Xenopus tropicalis: one gene and its partner. The protein of the gene in region 1 interacts with the protein of each later gene in a pairwise test. Links are inferred from orthologs where the notes say so. Each region holds a gene or a part of one and is shown on either strand. Other genes may lie near its edges.

Region 1 (4,115 bases):
GATGGATTTAAATTTTTCAGCCAAAAAAGTTTTACTGCATATCAATTACATGTCAAATGCAAGCTGAGATTTGCAGTTCCAAAGGGATTCAGTACGAGTATGCCCATAATGCAAGTGTGTATGCTCCCTATTTTAGCTTTTCAGTAAAAGTTTTGTTTCCTTATTTTGACATGCTAGATAGATGATAAAGATGTTGTCAGAAGACTTGCCACTAAAATATCCTACAAGGCGTTTCCTGTGAAATCTACATTGTTTGCACCAAAAGGTATGCTCTTTAAAGGGTGTGACACCTTTCTCAATACACACACAATGGGATTGTACTGCAGTTTTTCTCAAGCACAACTTAAGAAGCAGCCCATGGGAACTAACTAGTGAATATACTTAATTATACTGGATGCAAAGATCTCCAAGAGGAACATCTGCTCTCTTTTCATACAGCAGGTTATAAAGCAGGAGAAATGCAGGGCAATCCAATATAGTATGTTCAAATGTATTATTTACATGAAAAACCCAATGCATTTCATCAGGGACATCCAAAAAAGGCAGGATTATAAAACATATTCCAATGTCCTATGGTTATTACGATATAGTGTTGATGACTACAGTGCCTTTTCTGCAGAACTGAGAGAGCACAGAGACATTGTTGCAGTTAATCCAAAAAATATATTACAGTGTAGGCAGAAAGATTTTCAATTACTCCTAAAATATATATGAAAGGTACAGTGAGTAACATAAATTAAATCATATTATTACAACCTAAAGCAGCAAGACACACCCTTATATGATAATATGCAGTCTACTTATTTGAATAAAAAAAAGTAAATGGGATTTCGCATATCAGTCACAGCAAAGATTCTAGCATCCCAGTCTTGTGAGTGTTGCTGAGGAGAACCAATAAGCATACCCTTACAGGCTTGCCACAATTATCACATTGTAAGCAGTGTCAGAACACTAAGTACATAGAAGGGACACCTAGAAAAAGCCAAGCCTGCTTTTAACACCGTTACTGTGTGTGACACAGAAGTACAGGGTCCTGATGCATTCTAGCTGGAGGACTGGCAGGGTGTGTCAGATGGCTAAGGAACATACCCAGATTTAGTGGCACAAAGAGACTCTGCAATGAAGCATGGCTAGATTGATTTTCTCTCTAGCAAGCTAACTGTACATTTGAAACTGTTACATCAATATTATTCTGCAAAGTCTTCAAATTTCACGAGGTGGTTACAAGGAAGCACAACGGCAACATTGTAACTTGTCATGTTGAAAGGTATACAAAATCATATAAATCAAGACAGATCCAGCAAACGCAAAACAAATAAGACCAATAAACCATTCTGAAACTTTACAAAACACATAATAAATATATGATCTTGGCTTCAAGCTAACAATGCCCCTGCTAATTGCTCTGACGGATACAGGAAAATAAAGAAAGCAGCTCCACCAGATGAGGCAGGTGCTAAAGAGTGACTGAGTAATCGCACTGACACAGCTTAATTCCCATGGGGGGGGTAGGATACAAACTGTCAAACACTGCACACATCACTGCATCACATAGAGGAAATTTTCATTACAATATTGATTAGTACATTACATATCCATATAGGCAGAGCCTTACATTGATACCCTTTGCTAAACTATCACCAATAGTATTGATTTGCGCAATTCACATATACCTCACAAGTAGTAAGACACTAAAAAGTGTATGATTCTTTTGTTCTGCAAATCATTTTTAGCCACGACTTACTAGAATATATATTTCACAAGCCCTTTCTCTAAAACAGGATCGAAATGAAACAAATAATGTGTATTGATTTCAAACAGCCCTTTGCTCTCACTAAAATCTTTGCAAATGAAACCGAGTCATGTCTGTGAATTATCTATTTCCCATCCGTTATGGTGCCTTGTTCTATAACTGCCAACTGCATTTGCATTAAGGGCCTTTTATGCCTTATGTGGTCAGAGTGGCAATTCACAACCAAGTCTGCTCCATTAATGACTACATAAATCAAATGAATTGGTTCACATGGTGCCATCAGCTCTGAGCAGATCTGGAGTCAGGAGGGATTGCAGCATTCCCTTTCATCCCAGAAATCACGTGGCTTTTCATTTTGATGAAGTTCCAAGGTTATTTACTTATTTAAATCTTTCATATTAAAGTATTTTTTGTTTTTCTATTTATATGACCTGCCCTCACCATATATAACACCATGCCTGGAACAGCAAAGTGATAATGAAAAAGCAAAGACACAAGTGCCCAGTTGCCACAGCTGTATAAATGGCAGGAGCCTGTGCCTGGATGGAGGAATACTTGAGTCATGCAGTATAGATATATAATATATTAAGAGCTCCTTCCATATTGTTTACATGCATGCTCCACCCCTTGCTGTCTCTTGCTTGCTAGCCTGTGCTTTGATGAGAAGAACATGGCTCTTACCTAGGACCATACAAAGGATGATAGAAGCATCACTTACGGAGACACGATGTCTATTTCCTATAGGAGCGTATCCAATCAGTGGGAGCCCCCTGGCTGCTCTCCTCTCACTGCACCAAATACAGCGCCTACCCCCTTCCACCCCGAGCATCAATGATACAACAGCATATGCCCTAGCGATGCCCTCTTCCTGCCTCCTCCCTATGAAGCAGACAGAAATCTAGTACTATGTGAACTACAACTCTCGCCATTGCGAAACAGTAATAGGATATTGTCTCCCCATTGACAGACAGCGAGTCGCCGGAAGCCCCTATCCCGCATAGCCAGTCCCCATACCGTTCTGCGGTCCCTGTCAGTGCCGCCCGCAGCTGCCCTCCCAGAAATAATGAAGATGATGATGGAATCGAGAGGATGTCTGGGAGCCGCACCCAGCTGTCACAGTGACGCAGGCCGGGAATCCCAGGCCTTCCTAGCTAACAGCCGGTGATCCAGCGCTCATCCTCCTCCTGCTGTCGGTGCCCGGTATCCGCCTCTGTCTGCGCCCCAATGAAAATGGCGTTCTCCCCTCCCCGCCCACAATGCACTGCGCCGAGTCATGATGTAATGCGTCAGTCCTTAAAGGAGCAGCGCGCAAGGGAGTATTGGAAGCTGTCAGATATTTGCGGTGACCTGGGCTCCCCTTAATCTAATGCTAGCAACATTAGAGAAACAGGGGTAGTAAATTATATTTACCAGTATCTCCGAGATTACTAATTTGTTTTCAGTGCTTACATAGTTGGAATGTTCTAACCGTGACTCAGGTATCTGCTTATCGATCAGTGGCTAAAGGGCAGGACTTGGCCGGAGATCTGGATGTAATTCGGTAGAAGAGAATTATGCAACGCAGACCTTGAATAAAGCATTCCATGCTAGAGTCTAATCACTATAGTATACATACATTTTAATGGTTCACTAAAAAGTTGTGCTTATATACAGTAACATACACACACTGTGTACACCTTTCACTGTTGCACAGATATGGGGGCTCCAAAAATCTGGCTAAAACCCACCTCTACAGCCCCATGCTCACAAAGTATAACCAGTCCCGTAATGGAATACTGTTGTGGGAAAACATGTTTAACAGTTAATAGAGCTTCCCCAGCAGAGTCCTGCATTAAACTAATTTTGAAATTTCACATGGGGCTAGCCATATTCTTCATTTCCCAGGGTGCAACAGCCTTGCGACCTGTGCTCTGCGCTGATAAACTTAAGTCACACTTTACTGATGTGCTGCAAGTTGGAATTATATCAACCCACCCCCGCCCCCCAGCAGCTGATCAGCAGAACAATGTGAAGGCAGCAAGATAGCAGCTCCCAGTAGATATGAGAACAGAGTTCAATAGTAAGAAATCCAAGTCCGGCTTGGGACTCTTCCAGTTACATGGGAGTAGGAAAAACAATAGGTTACCTGAAAGCAGTTCTAATGGATAGCGCTGGAAATCCAGTGGGGGAACTGGGGGGGTTCAGGATGCACTGTGGGAGTGATGGCACACTGCATGTGATGTCACTTCCACTACGTTGGTGTGTGTGACGTCACACGTACGACGTAGGGGCATATTTAGGTCCGGTGCCTAGGTCGGCCAAATACCTAAAATTCAGCAGATCTGGGCCAGACCCGATCCCTGTTGCGTTTCACTTATGTGTG
Region 2 (3,656 bases), on another chromosome or scaffold:
TTAAACAATGATAAGGGGATATTTATACACAATCAGTATAGATATATGTCAATAGTAAATTGCAATGTATATGAGCAAATTATATCTCTTTGAACTTTACTTTATTTTCTAAATTCTTAGTAATTCCTTTTTATTGTGTCCTTCGGTATCCATTATACATTTTGTGCACATTGCCTTAAAGATTTGCATATAATTTAGTGACAAAACTTCCTAATATCAGTATTATTTGATATTGCAGTTTATAAACCATACAGTAATGGTTAAAAACAAGTAATCAAATATGTTTTATAGGACAAACAATTAGAATCTTGGTTATTCCTTGTACCCAATTATTTATGTTAAAGGCAATTTGGCAGCAGGAAAAGAAATATCACACTTATAGCAATCAATGTAGCACAGAGCTGTTTGCCTTTCTAATATTAAACCATATATTATCATATAACTGTCTCAAACTAAGTTTCTAACTACACAATGACAAATGAAATAAACAAAGAACATTACATACTCTTTTATGCATTCCGGTATGCTGACGTACTCCATAGGAATAAGTTCTGCTAATTCAACCAAGCTAAAGACATATTTAATTTTCTGGCTGAATTTTGAGCTAAAAACAAAATAAAACAACAATGGTTATTATGGTAGCTACTGTAGTAATATAATAATTAAATATAGAAGATCAGATTTCATTTCTATTACCTAATGAAGGGCTTTGTGATAGCTAGAAGTGTTCTGATAAACCAGGAAGGGTGTACTATGATCAAAGACTTGAGATTTTTCCGTAACCTTTTATAAAGAAAGACAAGCATTTGATTAGGCCACATGAAAATAAGTCTAGCAAAATTGAAAAATATATATAACCGTTGACCAGTAGAGTGCACATTTGTGCATCTTTGTTCAGTGCAGTTAAGTCACATACTTGATTGCTCAGGCTTTAGGCAAATCCTAATCTTTAAAAAAAACTTCTGGGATTCTGTGAATTCCAAACTGTATTCTGGTTTCTGTGCTTCCCTAACAACAGATTGACCTGAATGCATTAGCATTCAAATACATAATTCAACTTACATCTGTAACTGTAGCCCCCAATTTATTTGATGCTTTAGACATACCTCCTATCAATTTGTTGATAGCATTTCCTAAGCCATCCTAGGCTAGGCATTTTCCTCCGCGTTGTGGCTCCATTTAAATAAACTATCATGTAGTTTTCTGCAACTAACATTTCCAAAGTGCCAATAACATACCTGATGAATAAGCAGAGATACTTATTATTATTGAAAAATAAAAATACAAAACTGGGAACAAAATCAAAAAGACACAGCAAAAAAAAAAGGGGTAAAAAGCTGGTTGCATAGTACTAACAATCACCTAAATAAAATGGGGAACAGAATGAATGAAGCGTAGCAAAAAGGAATAAAGTTGGTCACAAACTACCAAGCACCAAATTCTCTGTGTGGATCCACAACCAAGTTAGTCTAACAGCTGCAAAGCAATGTGGCTGCAATAGAGATGATTACAAAAAAATAAGAATACAAAATTTTGGTCTGCTAATATGAGCCCCAATGCCATTTATGGGGTCACCAGGAACAAGATGGGGCCACCATTTCTTAGTGGTCTCATCATTCTGCCCAATATGTGCAGTTTGGACAACCACACGTGGGCAGTATTACACAAAAGGACCAAGACTTCATTAATCACCTTCTGTTTCTAATCTGTGTGGTAAATTATGACCCCCTTACTTAATATAAGTATATTCAATGTTACTGAGGGGCTTCAAAGACAAGATGCTGCAGGCCGAGTGCTTTGCATGCCCTATGGAACTTTGAGGTGCCTTCTAATATGCATATAATTTAAATGAGGGGTATATTTGTTTTTATGACACTGGCTTTTTTATTTTTTTTTACCAACATTGGACTAATGAAAAGCAACAGCTGTTCAGTGTTAGTAGAGCCCAGGTGCTTCAAGTAACACAACTGACACCAAAGAGCAGCACCAATAACTAACAACATCACTAAACAGTTTCCAAGGACATATTCTACAGGCTACACATGGCTAGTGAAATATAAAGTATTTAGTATATAATTCTTTATATACAATCGTACTGATATAGATAATAAATACAGAATGCAATACTCACTTAAATAGATTGTCCATTAGGTAGCGATAATTAGGTTGACCACTATCAGGCATAAAGCACACAGCAAACACTATAATTGCATTTAATCCATCTCCATAATAACCTTTAATGAAAATAATTATAATAAGTCAGTGGAAGAGAAACACAGGTTTTTCATTTTCTAGATCTTTTCATTTGTGTAATAAAATATGTTTGTGCAGAGGCATAACTACAGAGGGAGCAGACCACATTTGTGGATTATATATTGAATAATGTACCCCCTTATTTTTCCATGACCATATAGCACAAGGCTGAAATGCTCTTATACAGGTCATGGAACTTTGAGGTGACTTCTAATATACGCATATTTTAGCACAAGGGGTGCATTATTTATTATAATACACAAGTTTCAATGAGTCAAGTGAAAATACAACACTTTGACATTAAAGGAGAATGCAAGTCAAAATTTAAAAAGCATACTGCCCAATAGTCCTCCTATTGTTTAGTAAAAACACCACACTTTTGGCTCACCTAATCAAATATTTACTCAGTCACACTTACTTCACATTTTCTAGAACAGGCAGCCATCTCTAAAAAGGTATTCTCCCTTCCTTTCCCTCCTTGCTTCATACTGCACGTGTTTCATTCCCTCCCCCCCTCCCCTCTGCCAGATCCACTTCTGATTGGCTGGTGGGCATGTGTAGCTCAGAACAGGAGACAGGATCAAGTTACACACATGCTCAGAGAATGGGAAGGCTGCCGCTGGCTGTAGGCTGTAGGCTGCCAGCACCATATCTCAGAGAAGCAAGCAGGGATCTGGGAATTTGGATATGCAGTAAGTACTTAAAAAGAATGCCTTTAGACTTACTTTTAATTTATATTAACCTTTCATTGTCCTTTATAAGTCATTATAATTGATCCCATTACTAGGTACAATTTATAAAGATATAATTAACAGAGTATTCTGGGCTTTTCTATCTATCTATCTATCTATCTATCTATCAAATAATACAACATCTTCTAATCATATAAAACTGCACTCACAGGTCAATGATGTAAAGTAAAAAAAGTGGTAATTTATATAGTTAGTCTCCTTTTTTTTTAACCTAATATCAATTTGAAGCTTGTGCTGCTATTTTGCGATCCACCTCCTTCCCAGGAGGCAGAGCGTGCTATTTATTTGCCATTGCACTAACTACCAGCAATGATTATGCATTAGAGATCTCATTACATACTTTGTATAGATCCAAAGTGTAGCCCTCACACTAAAATCACACATGTTTCTCAGTGCATTGCCGCAAAGGTAATACTGAAATTACTATTTAAATAATAATAATATAAAATGAGTGCATGGTTTTATTGTGAGCAGAAGATTACATGTAAGTACCTCTTCTTACCTCCATGGCTAATAACTTTTTTATATGGTTCTATGGCAGTCATATCAACCCTATGATCTTGCTCGCCAATTCTGAACATACGCCAGCGTCTGCTTTCCTCTTTCTCCTCTGCCGCAGTATATTCAGGAATAGAACCTTTTGGTAGCACT

What was found. The genes of interacting proteins can lie anywhere in the genome.
Region 2: the proteins of klc1 (region 1) and bnip2 interact in binary tests that used the Homo sapiens proteins (3 or more experiments, as listed by UniProt). The two-hybrid records come from large-scale screens. The link is inferred for Xenopus tropicalis from reciprocal best matches to the Homo sapiens genes KLC1 and BNIP2.

The regions. Positions count from the first base shown.
Region 1 is NC_030684.2:98,511,997-98,516,111, reverse strand, and holds the start of klc1 (kinesin light chain 1), read right to left. Parts: upstream 2,926-4,115; 5' UTR 2,768-2,925; intron 2,495-2,767; exon of another isoform or gene 2,472-2,494; intron 1-2,471. UniProt on the Homo sapiens protein: Kinesin is a microtubule-associated force-producing protein that may play a role in organelle transport. The light chain may function in coupling of cargo to the heavy chain or in the modulation of its ATPase activity.
Region 2 is NC_030679.2:96,408,729-96,412,384, reverse strand, and holds part of bnip2 (BCL2/adenovirus E1B 19 kDa protein-interacting protein 2), read right to left. Parts: coding exon 3,508-3,656; intron 2,235-3,507; coding exon 2,132-2,234; intron 1,239-2,131; coding exon 1,107-1,238; intron 784-1,106; coding exon 697-783; intron 605-696; coding exon 506-604; intron 1-505.